7 linked regions of the Tribolium castaneum genome follow. The protein of the gene in region 2 binds, or shares a complex with, the protein of the main gene of each other region. Links are inferred from orthologs where the notes say so. Each region holds a gene or a part of one and is shown on either strand. Other genes may lie near its edges.

What was found.
Region 1: 116 kDa U5 small nuclear ribonucleoprotein component (region 2) and RNA-binding motif protein, X-linked 2 share a complex: the UniProt entries of both Homo sapiens proteins name them as parts of the minor spliceosome. The link is inferred for Tribolium castaneum from reciprocal best matches to the Homo sapiens genes EFTUD2 and RBMX2.
Region 3: 116 kDa U5 small nuclear ribonucleoprotein component (region 2) and Tango4 share a complex: the UniProt entries of both Homo sapiens proteins name them as parts of the minor spliceosome. The link is inferred for Tribolium castaneum from reciprocal best matches to the Homo sapiens genes EFTUD2 and PLRG1.
Region 4: 116 kDa U5 small nuclear ribonucleoprotein component (region 2) and SNRPG share a complex: the UniProt entries of both Homo sapiens proteins name them as parts of the minor spliceosome. The link is inferred for Tribolium castaneum from reciprocal best matches to the Homo sapiens genes EFTUD2 and SNRPG.
Region 5: 116 kDa U5 small nuclear ribonucleoprotein component (region 2) and cysteine-rich PDZ-binding protein share a complex: the UniProt entries of both Homo sapiens proteins name them as parts of the minor spliceosome. The link is inferred for Tribolium castaneum from reciprocal best matches to the Homo sapiens genes EFTUD2 and CRIPT.
Region 6: 116 kDa U5 small nuclear ribonucleoprotein component (region 2) and Srrm1 share a complex: the UniProt entries of both Homo sapiens proteins name them as parts of the minor spliceosome. The link is inferred for Tribolium castaneum from reciprocal best matches to the Homo sapiens genes EFTUD2 and SRRM1.
Region 7: 116 kDa U5 small nuclear ribonucleoprotein component (region 2) and Sf3b5 share a complex: the UniProt entries of both Homo sapiens proteins name them as parts of the minor spliceosome. The link is inferred for Tribolium castaneum from reciprocal best matches to the Homo sapiens genes EFTUD2 and SF3B5.

Annotation. Positions count from the first base shown.
Region 1 is NC_087396.1:22,565,046-22,567,810, forward strand, and holds RNA-binding motif protein, X-linked 2, read right to left. Parts: upstream 1,640-2,765; 5' UTR 1,501-1,639; coding exon 1,487-1,500; intron 1,438-1,486; coding exon 651-1,437; 3' UTR 647-650; downstream 1-646. Other genes in the region: mitochondrial tRNA-specific 2-thiouridylase 1, read left to right, coding at 53-646; TBC1 domain family member 31, read right to left, coding at 1,765-2,387, 2,435-2,765. UniProt on the Homo sapiens protein: Involved in pre-mRNA splicing as component of the activated spliceosome. As a component of the minor spliceosome, involved in the splicing of U12-type introns in pre-mRNAs.
Region 2 is NC_087401.1:10,799,871-10,804,004, reverse strand, and holds the start of 116 kDa U5 small nuclear ribonucleoprotein component, read right to left. Parts: upstream 2,801-4,134; 5' UTR 2,454-2,800; coding exon 2,337-2,453; intron 2,290-2,336; coding exon 2,069-2,289; intron 2,019-2,068; coding exon 1,750-2,018; intron 1-1,749. UniProt on the Homo sapiens protein: Required for pre-mRNA splicing as component of the spliceosome, including pre-catalytic, catalytic and post-catalytic spliceosomal complexes. Component of the U5 snRNP and the U4/U6-U5 tri-snRNP complex, a building block of the spliceosome.
Region 3 is NC_087397.1:4,268,902-4,272,634, reverse strand, and holds Tango4 (pleiotropic regulator 1), read left to right. Parts: upstream 1-1,413; 5' UTR 1,414-1,526; intron 1,527-1,577; 5' UTR 1,578-1,609; coding exon 1,610-1,725; intron 1,726-1,777; coding exon 1,778-2,135; intron 2,136-2,182; coding exon 2,183-2,682; intron 2,683-2,729; coding exon 2,730-2,931; intron 2,932-2,982; coding exon 2,983-3,174; 3' UTR 3,175-3,233; downstream 3,234-3,733. Other genes in the region: uncharacterized protein LOC656577, read left to right, coding at 99-1,031; Tbcb (tubulin-folding cofactor B), read right to left, coding at 3,465-3,582, 3,630-3,733. UniProt on the Homo sapiens protein: Involved in pre-mRNA splicing as component of the spliceosome. Component of the PRP19-CDC5L complex that forms an integral part of the spliceosome and is required for activating pre-mRNA splicing.
Region 4 is NC_087395.1:18,416,666-18,418,805, reverse strand, and holds SNRPG (probable small nuclear ribonucleoprotein G), read right to left. Parts: upstream 1,014-2,140; 5' UTR 886-1,013; coding exon 854-885; intron 809-853; coding exon 661-808; intron 606-660; coding exon 555-605; 3' UTR 501-554; downstream 1-500. Other genes in the region: zinc finger Ran-binding domain-containing protein 2, read left to right, coding at 1,370-2,050. UniProt on the Homo sapiens protein: Plays a role in pre-mRNA splicing as a core component of the spliceosomal U1, U2, U4 and U5 small nuclear ribonucleoproteins (snRNPs), the building blocks of the spliceosome.
Region 5 is NC_087394.1:8,405,410-8,408,049, reverse strand, and holds cysteine-rich PDZ-binding protein, read right to left. Parts: upstream 1,155-2,640; 5' UTR 1,038-1,154; coding exon 865-1,037; intron 807-864; coding exon 677-806; 3' UTR 501-676; downstream 1-500. Other genes in the region: Noc1 (CCAAT/enhancer-binding protein zeta), read right to left, coding at 1,260-1,627, 1,675-1,803. UniProt on the Homo sapiens protein: As a component of the minor spliceosome, involved in the splicing of U12-type introns in pre-mRNAs. Involved in the cytoskeletal anchoring of DLG4 in excitatory synapses.
Region 6 is NC_087398.1:3,112,118-3,116,109, reverse strand, and holds the start of Srrm1 (serine/arginine repetitive matrix protein 1), read right to left. Parts: upstream 2,801-3,992; 5' UTR 2,505-2,800; coding exon 2,490-2,504; intron 2,393-2,489; coding exon 2,303-2,392; intron 2,253-2,302; coding exon 2,130-2,252; intron 2,081-2,129; coding exon 1,910-2,080; intron 1,859-1,909; coding exon 1,521-1,858; intron 261-1,520; coding exon 1-260. UniProt on the Homo sapiens protein: Part of pre- and post-splicing multiprotein mRNP complexes. As a component of the minor spliceosome, involved in the splicing of U12-type introns in pre-mRNAs. Involved in numerous pre-mRNA processing events.
Region 7 is NC_087396.1:17,669,865-17,672,196, reverse strand, and holds Sf3b5 (splicing factor 3B subunit 5), read right to left. Parts: upstream 972-2,332; 5' UTR 848-971; intron 794-847; 5' UTR 792-793; coding exon 534-791; 3' UTR 501-533; downstream 1-500. UniProt on the Homo sapiens protein: Component of the 17S U2 SnRNP complex of the spliceosome, a large ribonucleoprotein complex that removes introns from transcribed pre-mRNAs.

The sequences.
Region 1 (2,765 bases), on a different chromosome or scaffold from region 2:
TCATTGGTCAAAGAAGCTTTGCACTGGTCACTTGACTAAACATTTTTTTCAGTATATTGATGATAAACCGGGCGATTTCGTGGACGTTGACACTGCGAAAGTCGTGGGTCAACACAATGGGGTGCACCAGTGGACTTTGGGGCAAAGGGCGCGCCTCCACAGCTACGAAAGCCCTTATTTCGTGGCCCGGAAAGACGTAGACAAGAACATAATTTACGTAGTCAAAGGGACAAAACACCCGTTACTTTACACGAACATAATTTTGACCAGTGAGCCCCACTGGATCCACTCACAGCCCCCTGATTTACAAAACGGGGTTTTGGAGTGCGATTTCAAGTTCCAACACACCAAATATTGGGTCAAATGCCAGGTGTGCCAAACAAGTAAAGGACTGATTATTAAAGTGAATAGGTACAAGAGGGCCATCACTCCGGGACAGTTCGCTGTCTTGTCGAAAGATGGCGAGTGTCTCGGAGGGGCTCGAATAATTAACACGGGAGTTTCACACTTCTCGCTATATTATTTGGAGAATAATGGTCTAGGGAGTGTCTCCCACATTTTGAAAAAATATGTCAATGTGACGCAAGGTGAAGACGAGCTTACTGATAATGAAGATATGAAGCACAGAGCTGTAAATAGATGTTAGTAAATCAGCGCTTTTTCTTATTCGGACTCCGCGACCGCTTCCTCCTATCCTCGTCCTCTGACACGCTGTCTTCAGCGGAGTAATCCGACCCTGACTCGCCCTTCTTCTTCTTTTTCTTCTTCCTATCTGAATCGGATTCGCTGCTGTTTTCGTCCGACTTCTTTTTCTTCTTCTTCTTTTTCTCCTTCTTGTGTTTCTTTTCCTTCTTCTCTTTCGTGACAACAGGCTCCGGCGGCGCCTCCTCGTCCACTTTCTCCTTTTTTATCGTGTAAATGGGCAAGCGCTCAGGCAACTTGATCTCAGAATTAATCTGGTCGGCCAGTGTTTCGCGAAAATCGTCAGGGTCTGTTTTAATCTTCACTGGCGCTTTGACAGGAACTTGCACAGGGACGGCCTTGGGGGCACAGCCCTCATCGTACAGTTTCTTCGTCTCAGCGTCCGTTTTCTTGCCCTGTTTGGGCACCTTGTAGTTACTGACGTGGTCGACTCGTATCGTCCTGTTCAAGATTTTGATTCCGTTGAAATTATCAACGGCCAAGTCGGTCGATCTTTGGTCCTCGTAGCACAGGAAACAGAAGCCCTTTGACTTGCCCGAGTCCTTATCCCTGATCAGGTTTATGTTCACCACTTCGCCATACTGCGAGAAAATGCAAATTATGTCGCCCTCGGTCAGGTCGAAGGGCAAACCGCCGATGAAAACCCACGCACTGTCCCTGTATTGGTCATGCCAGGAGGTTTTATTACCGGTGTAGAGCTCCTGTTCGCTCAGTTTCTTCACATTTTTCATGTTCCTGGAAAGACAACTTCGCAAAATTGGGGCAAAAAATCGACAATACTTACGTTAACGGATTCATGGTGCGTGATTGTGGGGCCTCTGACCCCGAAAAACATGAACAAATACAAATAAAACAAATGTTCAAAAAATAGGTTAGGTATTTGACGTACGTTTGACGTTTGTGTTAATTGCGTTAAGGTGCATTCACACCGCGGCTGGAACTATTAAGGCGACTTCACATCGGTTTGTAAATTTATTGCCGTTTAAAAACATATCACAGGTGCATATGAGATCATAAAACGTATAAATAGAAACGATACAACTTATAATAAAATTGATTGTGCTATCCGCCCACTTCCTCACTCCTTAAATTGGCAAGTAGCTCGATTAAATTGGCAATTTTCAACGCCAACTCTTTGCTTTCCGCTTGCAGGGCGACAACGCGTCGATCGGCATCACTGTCACTCCCGCTCTTTTGTTTTTCCAGCTCACTTTCGACTTTTTCGATTAGAGCATCCATGGCTTCAAGCCCCGTTGTCAGATTTAACATCTTCAAATGTTTGCGGGGCTCTTCACTACTCCGCACAAAATTGATTTCGTTCGATAATTGTTCCTGTTGTTGATCAACTGATAGTTTTGTACTTGTGACAACTTCATCAGTGTTTAGTAACTTTTCGATTTTGTACTTGTTTTTCAAAAGTTCGGCATAGTGGAAGAGGAGTTCGTCCTCGGTCTTGGTCAAGGCGTAACCTTTCTCGCCTTTTCGGAACCTGACATCGTCCATAATCGACGATAGGTATTTTCGGCGGCTTTTCAATTGCTGTTCCTTCGCTATTTGGTGTCTTAAGGAGGCCAAAATTTTGTCTTCTTGGTGGAATTTTTCGCGCAGGTTGGCCACCCTTTCGTAGTACTCCTGGACACGGGTTTGCTCCTCCAACAATTGATTACGAATCGCGCGTTCCATTTCTGACAATTTATTTAATTAAAACCCCAAAAAATGTACAAAAACTTACCCAAAATTCGCTTATTCTCTTCTTCCTCCACTTCGAAATTTTGCAACCGCTCCAAACTAATCAATCGGCGTCTGAACAAATCAACCTCGTCTGTTTTCAACCCCGCCATCTCTCTCTTCATCTCGGCCTCTTTATCCGACATCTCGATCATGGTTTTGGGGTAATCACAAAAATTGGGGTATTCCCCCAAATTAATTTTCTTGAACATGTTCAAATATTGCCGTGGGTGCACGGCCTCGCCCGTCTTGGCCAAAATGTGGTAACTTTTCGTTAGCAATTTTTTAACATCTATGGGATGATGCGTTTTGTAAAAACACCGAAATTGTTTATC
Region 2 (4,134 bases):
TTTGTATGGATCTAATTTAGTGTTTTATCATTATTATAAAAGAATTGTTTTTATATAAGTACTCAAACAATCAATCACACAATTTTTTTGACAAATTTTCCTGAAATAATGTTGAGAAACGTGCTATAACTTCCGAAAACGCAAAAAATTTTTCAACACAGTCTTAGTGATTTTCGAATCAAACTTGGCTAAATAATTGCGTTTCTGGATTAAAAAGCTAGAAATACGCAAAAAATACCTTGATTTTTGATACAAATTAATTATTTTTCATGTTTATTTTTGAGATATTTCACACAATAATAACATTTTGAACAATAAAAGATGCTAAAGCACCAGAAGACAGTAAAACTAATGTTATATTCGACCTGATTTCACGAAATTTTGAACAGAAATTATTAATTTTCAATAGGTCAAGTTTAGTGATTTGTTTATTTAAAGTTACACGCTCAAAAAATGCAAAATATAAGCTATTATTTTAACTTATTTTGTGTTTTCTTGGTGGGATTTAGCAAATTAACACCTTGATGATGAAAATTTTGATCTGGTTTTAACAAAAGGTGTTCTAACCCAAACACACGTAAGTGGTCAAGAAAAACTTTTTAAATTTGTAAATGTGCTTATCTATATACTGACCCCACCTGACTGATTTTTTTGAGAAATTATTACATTTTTGGGCCAAAAACGCGCACACACTTTTTTAAAAGGTAAAAAAAAACTCTATTACTTCTAAATTTTGAACAACGTATTATTTCTGGCTGAAAAACTTGCCAAAACAATTTTATTTTCGGCCCAATTTTTGGGTTTATTGCGCTATAAATTTAGGAGACAATTGCTTTGCTGGTTGAAAACTAGTTTACTCGTTGCTAAAACAATCTAAAAGAAGCGTAAATATTTTTGTTGTGTGTTTTTCATAAAATCTTAGAAAAATGTAAATACTAATAAGAACACATCTATAATTTACATAAAAACCGGCAATAAAAAGAAAGTCTTTACAGTGTAAAATAGTAAAGTTTTGTCAAAATGCACTTAAACGCTCAAAAAGTTAATTTTTTTATTTCATTTGCTACTTCTTTTTTAACGAAATACCTTTGAGAAACGTGCTGCAAAAAAAAATTTGATTTTTCAACACAGTTTTAGCAAAAAATGTTTTACTTATTTAACAACTTAGTGAAATAATCTCGTTGGATTAAAATCGTCCTAATACTCGCAAAAATACCAAAAATTGTGTATTTTTCGACCCAATTTAGTCATTTTCTATTCTAGTTCTAGGGAAATCTCGTAAGAAGATTGAGTTTTTAGCACAAAAACGCGCTTAAACCCCAAAAAACTGCTGTATTTTACGTATTTTTTTGTAATTTTTGAGAAAACCTTATGAAATAAATAGCGTTTCTAGCTTTAAAAAATGCCCTAAAATTCTCGAATCAGGCAAAAGTTACATCTTTTTGACTTTATTTAGTGATTTCTCAAACTACTCGAATCGAAATCTCGGAGAAACACTAAATTTTTACTCAAAAAAATATGAAATCAAAATATAGTTGTTTTTCTGTCTGAAAAAATAATCTAAAATGTTACAAAAAAGGCAAAACAGCATTATTTTCAACCACTTTTCATGATTTGCTGGTCGTCACTTCAGAAGTGTGCGTTTGAGAAATGCAAAAATCGCCACACTTTTTACGTAATCTGGTGATTTGTCGACGAATTTTTGCCGAAACATCGCGTCTAAAGGAGGATTAATTATTGAGTTATTACCAGGAGTGTCAAAAATGTTCATTAGGTAACTCTTGTTCTTAACGTCCTGCAAAAGTAGCGTAATTGGGATCGACTTGATCGAGCAGCCCCTTTCCTGCTCCGTGAACAAAGTGTCGGTATATCTCAAATTTTTCTCTTCATAGTCCTGATACCCTGGATGCGTTTGCCGAATCAAACAATCAACAAACGTGGTTTTACCATGATGTAAGTGCCCAATCAAGGCCACGTTACGTATCAGCGACGTATTGTCCATCATATCGGCCAAAAACCTACCAAAAAGTGAAATTATTTTTACCCCTACTTTCACCCAAATAATTACTCCATATTGTACGTCGTATCGGGCAAATCCTGCTCCTTCAACTGAAACTTCTTTTTCTTCACCGGTTCGATCAAAGGCACGTCAAGGGGCTGCGCGTCCTCCTCTTGCACAATAGTCTCCACATCAGGCCCATAGACTTGTAAAGCAGACGGGTAGTATTGCTTGTCCTCGTGCAAGACAATGGCCATGGGTTGGGGCTCACTCTCGTCCATTTGCTCGTCCTGAAAGGGGACAATAAGGGGGCTTCTGGGGACCTCGAGACACTCACATCGTAGTCTTGCTGCTCCTCGTCTTCCTGGGGCTCGGGCTCCTCGTCCTCGTCGTCATCGCTGTCCAGCTCAGGCCCGATGTAATTACCGAACTCGTCGTACAAATCCGCGTCCATGTTCTGGCTTTTGGGGCCCTAAACACGACTCGACATAACCCCAAAAAACAGCAAAAACGGTAAAATCCACACGACCGGAGCACAAAAAACGATGATTCGAGTGGTTTTTGGGACAAATTTGCCACTTTTTGCACGATTTTTGTGAAAAAACGTTGCAAAACGTTAACAAACGAGTCACAGGTTAGGTTGTTGTTGCCGGGAGTTACCAACCATGCGGCCACAAAAAATAAACTCCCTGGACTCACTACATAATTCAAGCCAATTTTATTAATTAATTGAAACAATCACAACCAAATTGTTAGTCGCGACGTTTGGTTTAATTGATAACAGTATCACATCAATTAATTGACAGGAATTATTACCAAGTTGGTCAACCGTTCCGCTAGATGGCGCCCAATCGGCAAATATTGATTTTGGGCCTAAAAATAGACAAATGGAGCAAGGGGGCCTCTTATCTATTTATAAGCCGCTTTGCTTCAGTTTACAGAACAAGACGTTCGTTATTGTTCGTTTTATGGCCAATCGTTTGTCTTTTGTTCACCTTGTCGGGGTCCATGGCCTGCTTAGACGTGACGTAATTGTCACTAGTTTTTCCATTTACCGGCAATGGCGGGGTCAAGTTCACCCGAGGCCAACTACCGTCTTATTGTTACCATAACAACACTATCAAATTCAAGGTTGTAATAATAATAGTATGAGGACTGAGGAGGTATGGAAAAAGCAACAAAACCTCCTAAACCGTTACTGACGCCCCTTTTGTCACCATTGGTCGGGGTTCCCCCCGTTTGAGAGTTACCACGGCGTGATTGGTCGCGCTTAGCGTGGGGGCGTGGCCGGTGTCACACCGTTCGGCCCGGCTTGGCTCCGATTGGCCGCGCCTGAAATAGGCAGGTCGGTGACTTTTAAACAAACTAACCTATTTTTTTAAGGGCAAATTAAGGGCCGTGTCGGGAAATTAACATCAGAGGCGGCTTTGGCACAAAAAGGACGTTTTATTTGTGGTAAAATTTCTGTTTTTAGGAGGCGTTTTAATTGTTTAATATTGTTGTTAATTGACTGTCGTTTGTTAGTCGCGGCCGCCTTGATCGGGTCGCAAATTGTGGTGGTTGTGCCCGATTGTGGCGTTTTTTTCCCAGTTTTGTGCGATGTGGCAACGCCGCACAAGCACTTTCGACAATTCCCGGCTAAAATCGAGTTTATGTGATTATGTGTGAATCATTGAAGTTGGCCGTGATGCCACGTCACAGTTGGCGTCTCTCTCGCACTCGTGTGACGTTTGTGACGATTTCGAGGTCTATATATAGCACAATGTGGAACTAAACTGTTTAATATTTATGTAGAATATTTTAAGCAGACGATGTGATGGTGTTTTGTTTTGTTCGACGGTCAAGTAGGTCGTGGACGCGAGTTGCAATCATTACGAAATGTCACAATGTAATCAAGTTGGCAGGAGATAAAGTCGATTGTTATTTGTTGATTTGATTGTTTTATTGGGGGCACTCCCACTCCCCCCACTTGTTTTAATTGGGTGCCGAGGCTGGGAGAGTGAGATGAAGTGTTGGTGGCGTTTAGGTCATCTTTTTTTAATCGTGTCGGAGATTAGAGCGGAGATTAGAGGGTGAAGTGAGATAAGAAGACGGGTTTGAGTGTGCGAGACAGCGGCGGCTCGTGAATAAATTTA
Region 3 (3,733 bases), on a different chromosome or scaffold from region 2:
TTGGACAACTCAGCACCCGTAAGTAACTGGGGGAAGTACACAAATGTAGTTCTTACGTAACAGTTCTTAGAAACACGTCAAGACCCCAGTTGTAAAAAATGACAAAAATCAGTGAAATCAGCCGAAATTCGTCTGCAAGCCTTTCCGACGATGACGAGGAGACAAGAGTGCGCAAATTTGCAAAACACATGCTCAAGAGCTCCCTATTTATCGGTACGTTTCTGGAAAAAAGGCTGGTTGAACCTTTGAACTCGTACCGCGATGTAATTAAAATATGCGACGATGAACACGACCTTATTGCGAATTTAAAAGCAGTGAGGAAGCGCTGCTTGAAGCATTTTACCAAAAATGTGTGGATTGGTATCACGGAGCCGAAAACAATCGGGGCCCCGGCAGGTTACAATTTGTGGGTGAGTCTGGACGAAGAGGTTTTTGGGAGTTTTTGGTACAAAATCAAAAACGTTGAATTCTTCCACAATGAAGTTAGAGTCAAGCTTGAAGTTGTGAGGCCAGTCAGAGAGAAGACTCCAGTTCATAATATAACTCCCACTCAGATTTTTGAAGACGTTTCTCAGAAGAATTTGGGTGAATTGGGTGCAAAATTTCAGGAGTTTTTCAAGGATCAGTTGAGGAACTTGTTTACTGAAACCTTGACTTGGCCCAACATTAAACAAGCCACCATATTTATGGTTCTTTTGTTATCAACACTGATCACTTTCTTGATACACACCATCAAGTACCTTCTAGACTATCTCCTGAAACTTTTGCGTGAAACGCAAGGACTTATCAGGGTTTGCACCCCAATTATTGTCAACTTTATGACTTTAATTTCGAATACCATTTGTGGATTTTATTCTTTATTGGCGGTTTTGTGGCGAAATCGGTCACCACCAATCAATCAATTACACATATCTCCGTATGATGTACCATATTATAGAAGTAATATGAGGGCATTACCTTACCAGGCAGGAGACTTTCAAAGGTATCGCAAATCTCGCGGATCTTCAGTCAAGATCACTCCGTTGGATTAAGTTTCTTTGCATTATATAATTCTGTTTGCATTTTTAATCACATCGCTGCAAAGTGGGGCACTAGGCAAAGCTACTTTATTGTAGTCGACTCACAATGTAAATAATTTGTGTAATATTGCTTTTATCTGGGCTCAGGAATGTTGACATTGGGACTTGTACAGATAAAAACTAGATGCGTTTTGTGGTCAAAAAACTATGTATTTTATTGTAGACTTAATAACGAAATATTTATAAGTGAAACAACTCGTATCTATTTTTATAATTGTTGAAAAATACAAATGTTAAAAAAATTGGCGTGCTTTTATTTTGTGACCAAAACTACCCAAATAAGAAATTCAATTCAATTTGGTATGGAAATTAACTATTTTTTGGTTAAAAAAAAAAAAAACTCAAACTCCCTCCACGGTTGAGTCAATAGTAGTTTCTTTTCCTGTCTATTCTACGAACCAAAAGTTACCAAATGGTGGATTTGGTGATTTTTTGCAGAGAGGTTAAGTACGATTTTGTTTATTTACCCGAAGATTAATTACTAGTATTACAATTCAGTAAATATCCGGAGTTAAATACTCGTCTTCACAATGACCGAAGACGTGCAGAGACACTCCGTACATACGTTAGTATTCCGTTCCTTGAAACGGTCTCACGACATGTTTCTCTCAAACCAGGGACTACTGCCATCAGTGGACGAAAAAGCGTGAGTAACAAACCACAAAAACAAGCAGCCCTTAATATTACGAATTAAATAGCGAAATGGTGCGAAAAGCCATAAAAGCCCGTGACTTGTACGGCCTAGTCTTTGACGACGTTAAGAAAATGCAAGCTATGAAGCACTTACGGGAGGCAGAAGCTGGGCCAAACCCCCCACCACCGGGCACACGCACTGACGACGCGGCCCCAAACACCGAGGGGGCTGTTGTACCGTACACTGACACAAGTTTGATGACACGAAGCGTCCAAAATAACACACAAAACCAGCTCGCCAATTTAATGAAAAAAGTCCCCACAATGCCAAAGCCGAAATGGCACGCCCCTTGGAAGCTATACAGGGTGATTGCGGGGCATTTGGGGTGGGTCAGGTGTGTTTCGGTGGAGCCAGGAAATGAGGTATAAAATTTTTGTTGGCAGCAAATTTGTTACCGTTTTTTTGTTAGTGGTTTGCGACCGGCGCAGCGGACCGAATAATAAAAATCTGGGACCTGGCAAGTGGGCAGTTGAAAGTGTCCCTAACTGGGCATGTGAGCACGGTCAGAGGGTTGGCTGTGAGCAGTAGACACCCTTATTTGTTCAGTTGCGGTGAAGACAGACAGGTCAAGTGTTGGGATTTGGAGTACAACAAAGTCATTAGACATTACCATGGCCATTTATCGGCTGTATACTCTCTAGCGCTTCACCCCACAATCGATGTTTTATTAACAGCAGGGCGTGATTCAACAGCCCGGGTTTGGGACATGAGGACGAAAGCAAATGTTCACACTTTGACCGGCCACACGCATACTGTAGCTAGCGTGGTGGCGCAAGCCTCCGAACCTCAAGTTATCACAGGATCTCATGATACCACAATCAGATTATGGGACCTGGCAGCTGGGAAATCAATTTGTACGCTTACCAATCACAAAAAGAGCGTTAGAGATGTGATTCTCCACCCGACTTTGTACGATTGTTTAATTATTTTTTTTGTAATTATTTTATTATTTGTAGGAACATGTTCGCGTCGGGCTCACCCGATAACATAAAACAGTGGAAATGTCCTGACGGGAAATTCATACAGAATTTGTCCGGTCATAATGCTATTGTTAATTGTCTCGCTGTCAATCCAGAAGGCGTCCTGGTTTCAGGGGGCGATAATGGAACTTTACATTTCTGGGATTGGAGGACCGGTTACAATTTCCAAAGATTACAAGTAATTTTTGTAACTTTGAAGGAAGTCAATCGATTAATGTTACATTTTTAGGCCCCAGTACAACCTGGGTCAATGGACAGTGAAGCTGGAATATTCTCAATGATTTTCGACAATTCTGGCTCAAGATTAATCACAACTGAAGCTGACAAGACCATCAAAATCTACAAAGAGGATGAAACTGCGACTGAAGAAACGCATCCGATTAACTGGAAACCCGATATTTTGAAACGGAGGAAATTCTAATTCTATGATTAAAATAATTTGTATTTTTATAAAAATAATAAATAAAATTTTATGAGCTACTAAAAAGTTTTAATTTTACCCAACTTTGCATTATTTATCAAATTTTCCGAAAATTAATCAAACCATTTGACATTTCTAGACCATTAATAATCGCAGAAGTGCACAAAACTTACGATTTTCTAGATGTAAAATCGTGAGGGTAAAGGTTAAAATGCTCTACGATAAATAATTTTTAATTTGATAAAAACAATAAATTAATTCGTTTGCGAATTTGGAATGCTTGTTACCAATCATATTTCCTCGTTCAAGTCGTAATCTTCCTCAGGGAAGTCGCCACATTCAACGTTGTGTGGCTTAACAAAGGCGCCATAATTATTAGCACATTCAAAATATTTCTTGCCTTTAAATCTGCAACAAAAGCTAGAATTTTTTTTCAACTGATGGTCGTAACTTACGTTCCATCGTTTTTGCCCAAAGGTTCGTCATACTTGACCCCTATCCAATATCCAGGTAAGGTCTCAACAGGCCCTGTGTACATCACAGTGCCAAGTCTGCAGGG
Region 4 (2,140 bases), on a different chromosome or scaffold from region 2:
ACTAATTAAAGCGAAATCTTATAGGGCAATACATTTCAGCGTGTTCCTTTGACCTAGTCAAGGGTGGTTGCTTTAAGACTGTTCCTCAAAAAACTCATTTTCCAAGGAAATGACATTAAAATCGAGTGGGTGTTAATTTCGATCCGGATGTTTTCCCGGAAAAACTGTCAATGGGGGCAATACCTGACGCTGATTGTGATGTGGCTCTGGAAAACTCGTCACTACACGAAAATTTTCACTGGAACGTCGCCGCCGAGACGCTTTAATGCCAAACTAGCGAACGTTTCCAATATTTTCCCGACGGTGGAACAGTGGCGGCGCGCATGCGACATTCTCTAAGCTTTTCATACACTGTTACGGACAAACCGCTCGAGGAAAACAATACGAATTGAATTTCTTTGTGAATGAACGCACAAAAGCGACGACGATAATGCTTTCCCTCCTATTACCCTAATTCACTTATTTCCACCCTACCCCAAGCCCAATAAAAGAAAACTCGGTCAGAATCGAACGCTTTTATTACAAATAATTATCGATTAAGCCAAAATTACAAACTAAATCCTATCTAGAGCCTCCAACATGACGATACTGTTTCCCCGGATCACCTGTAATAAACATAACCTCAAATTTCAAATCCACACTAATTCAAAAGAAACGTACCACCATCCCTATATTGTTTTTCTTGCCATCCCGGCACTCTTCCACACTCTCGTCCACCACTAGATTCATAAAAGGGTCGAAACCGCGCAAAATACCAACGACTTGTCGGCCCCCATTCAACTTCAAACACAATTTTTTGTCCATAAATCTGCAAAAAAACTAGTAATACGTTCTACGACAAAACAAGACTCACTTTTTCAATTCCGGAGGATGTGCTTTCGACATTTTGTGTACTTTTTTGAGTTTTTAAAATTTAAAACGCTCTTCAAACGCTTGACACAAACTGACAGATTTGACAGTTGCTAAGTACAGGGCATGATCAGTTGTCCCAATTTTTTCACATTTTTAACGTATAGTTAATGCAAAAAATTAAACAAAACAAGTCATTGGTTTTGGTGATAACTGTAATCAGAAATCGGTAAGTGTTGCGTTGAAATAAGGCAATTGTTGTTTTGGTGATCGTGTCCTGATTGGTGTGGGCAACGTTTGGCGTCGAAAATCCCTCTGTGCTAGTGACATTTCGGTGCATCTTCGGTTTGACGTTACTTTTTTATCAACAAATTTGTTGGAATAACCGCTGGAAAAAGGTTCAGTAAAGGTAAAAGCAGTACCAGTACCGCCAGATGTTAACATTTGCTCCTCCGTTCCCTCTAGTAGTGCTCCTTCTAGCCACTACTCTTTACGCCTTTTCTAGTCTAGTATCGCCCCCATGGAAGAGGCCGAAGTGACACCGCCCCCGCCGCCGTCGCTGAAAAGCCCGTCGGCGTCGAACGAGGGAGACTGGACGTGTCCGGACTGCGGTAACGTAAATTTCGCCCGCCGTAACAACTGTAACCGTTGTTACAAAAGTCGGGGGCCGGTGTCGGCGAAAAAGCGCAAATTGGGGCACGAGATCGGTAAAGCGGCGGCAGAGAAAAGTCGCGGGTTGTTTAGTGCCGACGATTGGCAGTGTAACAAATGCGGTAACGTGAATTGGGCGCGGAGGCAGCAGTGTAACGTTTGTAACGCCCCCAAGTTTGGGGAGGTGGAGGAGAGGACGGGGTTCGGTGGGGGGTATAACGACAGGGGGGTGGTCGAGTATAAGGAGCACGAGTCTGACGACGAATATGACGAGTTCGGGAGGAGGAAAAAGAAGAAAAGTGAGGAGGTGAAGGAGATGAAAAATAGTGTAGATAAGGTGGAGAAGAAGGTTGAGGAGGAAGAAGAGGAGGAGCAGGAGGAGGACGAGGAGGAGGATGACGACGACGGAGACTTATCGAAATATGATCTGTCGGATTGGGGGGATTCAGGGGAATCGAATAGTAAACAAAATAACTCAAGATCTAAGTCGAGGTCACGGTCTCCACAACACGAAAAAAAAAAGTCATTAGTCGAGTCGAAATTTTTATAGACATTTAGGTGAATAAATCTGCTTTGTATGGTGGTAAATTCGAGTTAGGTATACACAATAAACCATTACTTTTATTGGTGCCTGATTTAC
Region 5 (2,640 bases), on a different chromosome or scaffold from region 2:
AAACTGAATAAAATTAAACGGCAGTATTGTGTAAGTGTATGGATAAAACGTCACCAACAAAAAATATAATCACTGAGATAAGTAATTACTGCAAGGTGGAAAACAAAGAGGTTTGTCTGATTCATTGAATTTTGTTACGACTTCGTCACGTTTTTTTTATATACAGGGAAGTGAATTTTTAAAATCCAATCGCTGAAATTCATTTCTAAAAGGTTATATACAGTGTAGCCACTTTTAGAAGTATTTAATAATACGACAGACATCAATTTTTTCAATTATTTTTTTAGTGCAATAAGACAAAATCGTATTTTAACTTTGTGGAAATAATATTACAGGTACAGTTTTTTAGTTTATAAAAAAGTCCAAATAATAATTCTAGAATATTTGATAGTTGCGTTTTAATAATGTATAGTCAACCTTAATAACAAAAAAGAAATAGGGATAGAATAGGTAGAAATGAATTAATAAGTTAAAAATGTTATCATAAAAATGAAATAAAAAACTTTTGTCATAAGTTATTAAATATAATTACACACCTTATCATTCAAGATAATTAAATTGTCGTACACTCACTGTATACAGACAGAAAACCTAACAGTACCTACAAAACAATGCAAATTGCTCTAAAACTTAGAATAGGCTTAATTTTGTTTAAAAGTAACACACAAAATGTAGTTCAAGTTGACGATTGTTTGTAATTCTTCGTACTCAACAATTTCTTACCACACATCGCACAAATTCCTTTTTTATAAGCACAGGACTGGCAATAATGTGACCCAACCTGGTGCACCTTTTGCCTACATATTCTACAATAAAAACATGAGAAGAGTAAATCAATTTTAAGGATTACTTGCATTAACAAACCTGCAAGTCTCAAAACTGGACGTGTATGGATTAAATCTGTTTTTGCTAGCTGTTAAAGCCTTGTTTTCGTTAACTTTCCTACCCCCTGACTCAGTTGTATTTCTAGCCCCACTTTTCCAAGGATCTGGTGTTATCACTTTGCCCAACTTCTTTTGGCATTTTTCGCACACCATTTTCACAAAACACGATAATTATTGTGAATTTGGTACGAAATTGTAAACACGAAGATAATAAACAGAACGTACTGTTAAACGTCACGAAAAGTTAGGTTATGGGTTATGTGTAGTTGTATATTCGCGAAATACAACCAACACGAATTAAATAAAACACAAAACTGGTGGATTCGTAAAGAATTATATTAATTAAAATGCAATCGACTGCTTCCTTGTCGATTATTAATTCTTCCTCTTCTTTGCCTTATTATTAAATTTATTTGGACCTTTCCTTTTCTTGCCAAAATTGCTACCTTTACTATTTTTCTTTTTGCCAACTACTTCATCAAATCCCTTCAACCACCTATTTCTACTCTGTTCCCAGGCAAGTTGTTTAGTGCTCGCATTATCCTTATTTGATAACGCATTTGAACTTCCTGGGGCTATTTTCGAACTACCTTCATCGTCAAGCAATGAGGCAAATTCTTCAGCTGATGCAAATATTGAGTTTGTGTCTTTGGATTTTTTCTTCTTTGATTTTGCTGACTTCGGTTCTTCATCGTCAAAAACAACTTCCTCGTCTTCATCGTCGTCTAAGTCACCCAGAAGCACTGCAAGCAAAGGATAATTTTGTGTTTTATTATTACAAAAAATATACTTTTGTCATCATCGTTCATTTCAAGGTCATCTTCATCGAAATCTTCATCTTCGTCCATTGACAATTCTTCGTCAGAAGCATCCTCCATCTCGCTATCATCGTCATCACTATCATCATCATCTGTCCGTTCTGGAAAACAGAGCAAAATACATTTTGAAATTAAGTTGGCAACACTTATTTTTATTATTGGTACTATAAATTGTAGGTGAAATTTAAAAATCGAGTACAAAAATTAACGTTTAGATTTGATAGTTATTGTGGCCAACTTAGATTTAAAATCATTGATCACTCAGATTATTATTATTTTTGTAAACTTAATCTACAACAAACTTAGGCATTTCTGTCTGGTTTCCAGCGTTTGCTAATAAATATTTAATTTTTTTTATCTATGTAATTCTTTTCAAAATTTTTCTACAATTCTTTTCTACAAATTAGCAGTTGTCAGCAAAATATACTTTTTTATATTAATTATGAATCTTAATCTGTTCTATAATTATTCTTTCCAATAAATACGTGTACTCAAGCTTCTGAGGTAGAAAAAGAATTCATTAAAATTAACAAAGTAATTAATATAGAAAAAAAGATTTTTGTTATTAATAATGTTGTTCCGGTCATTAAATTAAATTAAATATTTAGACTTCCTCAACCTACTTGATATAACATACACAATAATTTGAAAAAGTATATTTTGAGTTACCGAACATTCGTGTTTTCAAAAAAAAAAACTAAAAAAAAATTTAAAATTAAAATTTAAAGGTAAGTTCAGAAAATATGTTTTAATATATTTTGTGCGGTGCAAACATTTTTTTTTATTACTTCTTATAACATTCTAAGACAACAAATGCTTAAAAGTTGATTTGTGCAAAAGATACATAAAAAATTGTTGCTAACTCAAAGTGTGAATGGTGTGGAAAAAAATTCAACGTAAAAAAGCTAATTTCGGTCCAATTTGTTACCAATTATTCG
Region 6 (3,992 bases), on a different chromosome or scaffold from region 2:
TGGAGCGGGAGCGACGTTTCTCCTTGTCCTTGGAGAGGGAGCGCGACTTGCGATCCTTTGATGCTCGTGGACTAGACGACGAACGGGATCTCGAATGCGATTTGCTGGGTGACTTGGAGCGTGAAGCCGACTTTGAACGGGAGCGAGATACTGATTTCGAACGGGAACGGGAGTTACGCTGCTGTTGCTGCTGTTTGCCGTTGCCGCCGGCCATGGACATCAGCTTCGCTTGAAGCTTTGACACGGGCTGGGAACTCTCTCTAGACAGTAAAGCCAACGTTAAACCTGCCCACATCGTTTGCAAAACGGGCAACAAAAATAATGGAATCAAGACGAAGCCAACGATGCATTTTGATTACACAAAATGTCCGAACAAACATTAAATACATCGGTACAACCCATCACATACAAAAAAAAGGTAACGCTATTATTTAAACTGTTATTCTTCCTTACAAGTGGTTTTTAATTTTTGTAATTATTTTATACAATGGACGATAAAGTTTTATAAAACCAATAAGACTGAGGTATTTATTTATAGCCATAATATAGTTTATATAACTGACTTTTTTTAATAAAAGTGCTTGGACGCAAGCTAAGACAAAAAAACTTTAAAAATGTTTTCTTGGCAAAGAAGAACACCGGGAAATAAAACTTCTAATACAAATATAAAAAATCTATTAATAAATTCGTGTTTACCAGGCACTGGCACGATAATGATTAGTGTGAAAAAAAAAACAAAATAAAAAGTGATAAATACCAACGTAATTTTGTAATAAAAATAACATTTATTTTAATACATAATTAAAAAATGTTTTAATAAAGCTACAGAAAAAATATTGTACGTTACTCTTATGAAAACACAACGTATCACTCACCCACGTAATGCAACATATCGTTTTTAATCCTTGTAACGTAAATAACCGTTTGCATAATTTTTCGACGTAATTAAAAACAGATTACAAAAAACCTGTAAACTAATATCTATTCGAATAATTTTAAGAAAATTATTTGAATCACATAACAAAGTCAACTTGCTCACACAACTACGTCCATTTCCAATATAACGTTCCATCATTAGATGATTAAAGCTGCATCATCAATGCATGTTGACAAAGAATGGTTTTTATTAAATACATACAAAATCACAAAAATTAATCCACAATTATTTTAATACGTTAACAAATAAAAATAAAATCAATCCCAAAACGTGCCAAAATAGCGCAAACCTTAGAAAACTTATTAAACAAAAAATCCACGCAGTATTAAAATGTGCAAATTTTTTCACTTGCTTAAAATACTTTTAGCCAGTGATATAATCAAGAAAGAAACCAACTTTCTCTAACGTTCTTTATTTATTTATTCAACGAATTTTGCGCGTCATAAAAATAATAACCATTTTTAGCATCTTGCTGAAATTGTGTCGTAACACGAGTTACTGAAGCAATTTACAAAACTCACCACTTACCACAACGTGCAATTAATTTCCGCAACAAATTTAATCTATCAGTAAACAAACTTACGAATTATGTTTAGAATTGGCAGTACTGCTTTCCAATTTGGCAGAATCCTCTCTGCCATTATTCTCCCGTTCGTTGGGACTTGCGTTGCCGTTGTTCCTCAAATCATCAATCTTGATCCTGGATCTGGAACGGCTCCTTGACCTCTTGTCCTTCCCTCTATCGTTGTTCCTGCTGGACCTTTCAACCGACCGCCTCCTGGGCCGCGACCTTGACCGTGATCTCCTCCTAGACCTGGACCTGTCCCTATCCCTGTATTTCTTCTCCTTGTCGGACTTTTCGCGTTCGCGCTCTTTTTCTCTTTCCCGGTCCCGAATCTCACGCTCTTTTTCCTCTTTCTCCTAATATAACACAAGCGGTGATACCACCAAAAGTATGTAATTTATGCAAACCTTCTTTTTTATGATTTCTTCACGCTTCAAGTCCAAGAGTGAGTCGGGGATTCCGGACGGGTTCTCCTGTGCTGAGATCAAGAGCGCCCACAGCTCGGCCATGAACTCGCGCGCGTTTTTCCCATGCAGAAACCCCGTAAGATTGATTTGGATCTTTTTAGGATCGGGAAACTGCAACGTAAATATTTAAGCAAGCGAGTTTCAGTTGGCAATGTTGTACCTTCTCATCTAGTTGATTATAAACAAAATCGACGACGACGTCGTCATCAATTTTCAAGATTTCCGTTAATTTGTCTTGGATCCACGGCTTGATGACATCAAGTTTAATTTTGGACATATCAACCTGCAATTGAGCGCTGCTTTATCACGGTACCTACGCTTGGCTTAATTTACCCTCTGACTCAAACAATCGCTGAACTTCATCTGCTTCAGGAGCTTTTTTTCCTTATCGCTGAAGCGATTGTCTTGCTCGGTGGTTGTGCCCTGAAACGAGTTGTTTACAACAATAATCCCTTAAAATATTTGACAGTTCTATTAATAAACACCAAGGGGGGACGTAATCCACTTGCAAAAAACTCACCGTATACATCATCATAGAGTCCGGAAATGGTCCTTTCGTTGCAAACTAACAAAAACCACTCAAATTACTAAATCAAGAAACGAGGAACTGTAGCACAGACGCCGGTACTTGACTTCACGATATACACATAATTGAATTCTTCACATGATTTACTATAACACTAAACTACAGCGGTTAATGCAAACTCCCGATTAACGCGACTCACAATAAAAAAATCATCGTTTTTTACAATTAATCGCGCACTAAATTCTACAAATCCATGTTGCTTCCAACAAAATGGCGTGGCGTCATGGCGTCAAATTTGTTGATAATTCCAGATTCTGCCTTACCACCGCAGCTCTACCGCACCGACCGGGCCAAGCGCGACTTTAAAATCTGAGAACTCATTCAAACCTATTTTAATAAAAGCCGCTTTATCGCAAAACTACAACAACGCCCAACCACGTATTTTACTAAAAATGAGGCAAAAACGCTACTTTGTGCAAAAATAGCACACAAGAGCAGCCCAGTTGTAAAAAATAAAATTCCGGAAAAATTCCCAAATGAACTGCTTTTTGCCGGTCATTCACTCCCAATCAAACGCTCTAAACATAAAGTGCTAGTCAAAAAAACTGTTTTGTTCACGAAATCAAATCCCAATTGGTATTTTTCTTAGAACTCGAGAAACAAAGTTGTCTTCAGCACAACATAATTGGGGGCCCAGATGAGACAGGTAGCCTCCATTGAACCGTAATGGTCCGTCGACTATTAGCCAGTCATCTGTTATAATAGGAAAACAGGGTGTTCTCCCACTTAGCAACTGTTCTTGTTCTTTAATCCCTCCCAGGTACAACATTATATCATTTCCGTTTCACAAGTTCAAGAACAACCTGGTCTTCAGTCTACTGGCACACTTCAAAGAAATTATTTCGTGCAGCACCCGACCAAAGTGCACCAGTGACCACAGTGCCAGTTAGTGAAAAAATAAAGTAGAAAAAAGGTGGTTCAAATATGGATTGGCAATTTTGAGTGAAACGCACCGAAAATTATTGTTTGCTAGATTTGCAATTTTTCGAGTCTCATAAGTGCCAGAGTCAGGACAGGATGGCCATTAGCAAAAATACGGTTTTTGCGGTAAGTTTGCAGGGGCGCAGGGCTCAATTCGCGCGAGTATGTAGATTTACCGATATTCAAAATATTTGCCCTCTGCAGCCCACATAAACGCCGAAGAACAGTTATATGATGAGGTCAATGATCAGGTATCGCTTTGAGTAGGTACGTACTGGACAGGTGGTCAATGTAATGCACGGGACAGTGTCGGGTTTAGATGATTTTACCCATCATTGACGGTTTTTTGGAAAACCGGTGATGTCATCATCTTGTTGAGTATTTGGTCAGGTATTTCGTATTGTCTGAGATGACTAGCCTTCGGAATGAGGTTGAGATGGTAATTAAACGGTACTTTTCGTGATTAATTTTTAAAAGACCTACAGCCGAAGACGAAATTCATGTCACGAAGTTTCC
Region 7 (2,332 bases), on a different chromosome or scaffold from region 2:
TATTGTCACTATAATTGGTAAATAAAAAATAAATATATTGAAAATCTGTTTTTTTTTTATAAAAATGCAGCGAACTAAAGCTAAGAATATTCTCTTAAAGTCATAAATTATTGTACTAGAAAAAATTATATTCCTAATAAGGGTAATAAATAAATACATTTTTAAATGCCCTTCCACTACCTTTAGAAATTTTCCTCCATGTTTTTATTAAAGAACTTGAAACACTATTTAATTTCCAAAACTTTTTATTCGATTAAGGAATACATATCTTCGGAATGATTTTAGTGATATCTTGCCTATGTAATACAGTAATACCTATTTAAATGTAAGTTAATTTTGCGGCGTGTGTGGAATACTCTATTAGTGCAATTAGTATTGACACAAATAAAGTAGGTATTCTATTCTAATAAAGGCGAAATGAAATACAAAGTAGACCTTTCGGCTACAATTATTTTAGTTATCGGAAGAATTCTAAAATGGTCTTTTAAAAAAAACAACGATTATATGAAAATTTTTATTGACTTTACTATAATCTAATCCTCGGGTTTATCTGGAGGTGGACCACACGGTTGAAGCATTTTCTCCATTAGATTAAACCTAACTCGGGCTTTTGCCTCGTTCTCACAAATCGCAAAATAATTTAACAAATCGTGGTGCCCCAAATAACTGGCGTAACTGTCTCTATGCTGGTTCAGCAGCCATTCGTATTTCGTTATTTCAGAGTGGCCTGTTCCGATATATTTCGATTGGAGATGCTCCAACTGGCTGTGGATGTTGTAGCGGTCGCCCATTACTTTTACAAATTGCAGTAAATTACGAAATAGAGACACACAAAGAAGAAACACACTTTTGTTTTGATGCTCCTAAGTTCACCTAACCTCGAACTCAACTCACTACTCATTAGTGTTAAATGTTAGGGTTGCCACTGTTGTTCGGCAGCAAAAAAGTCCCTAGGTTTTTATTCCTCTCGCTAACATTTATTATACAGGGTGTGTTGTATTTCTGAAATTTTCTTTAGGTGCCACCAAAAATGCTATACTATTTTCACTTGAATAACGCGCAATTGTAAATATGAGCCTTAAAAATCCTTCGTTTTGTAGTGTAACAGGATAGTGGTCAGTCTCTCTATTATTATATTATATTTTTCGTTTATAATACACGTGTATTAACATATATCAGTAGGAGTCGTTTATGGCTATTAAAGTACAGTGTACTTTAATGAATTTAGGGATATTTAGTTTTCAAGAGTTTCATCGATAATGCGTGGAATACACGTACGATCGATTTAATCATCATTTCTTCTTTATTTATTATTTATTACCGTCACCAACTGACACGAAATTCCCTAGACGACAAAAAAATTTAATTAAAATAAGAAAAAATCATAAAAACATTCTCGTTTTATAAGGGTTTTGGCGCACTCATCCCATAGAAAACTTGTTTTTAAATATACTATTATTTATTATTATATTATGTTATGCTAGTTTTTATACTTAGTAATTTTTTACGTATATAGACATTATGTGTTTATTTGGTCAGTTTTTAACTGTTTTGAGAAAAAAGGAGACGAACTGAAAAAATGGGGAAAAATACGTATATTATTAGCTGTCTCAAAACTATAAAAACGCTAACGTCGCATTTTCTCTCAAAATTAGCTATTATAAATTATTCATGCACTTCAAAAAAATAATAACTAATGTAATTTATAGTTTCAATAAGAGATTTAATCAATAATAACTATTTCATATTTTTATCAATCTTATTTAAAAATAAAATCGGTAAAATGCAACGTTGGCGTTTTTATAAATTTGAAACAGCTAACAGACATTTTTTTGTGGAAAAAAATTCTTGAGGCCATATTTCAGCCGCTCACGCTAAATTTGTTTAAACCTAATAAATGGTTAATGATAGAAATATGATATGGCAGACTTTCTCGGAAAAAAGCATTCTATACACTTTTTTCAACCATATTTGCAGCGTTTTAAAAAATATGGTGAAAGTTTGCTTTTTTTAATATTGTTTATGATAATTTTTGTGCTTTTATTTCTTGCCATCGAAAATGTAGGCCCACTTTCATAATCGAATTTAACGGAGCATTAAATTAAATGTTTTTTGGAATGTGTGAAAGATTTGTGAAAAATAAACATCTACTTTAATGCTCTTTTAAACCCGATTATGAATGTGGCCCTAAATGCTCTATCAGCCTGTAGTTTTTGTTTGCGTTATACTTATCGTAATTTAAATATAACCATTTTTTATCAGGAATAACTGCCCCAGATCAAACAACCAGTGTCATGAATAATATATTTCTAGAAAATTTTTACACAATTAT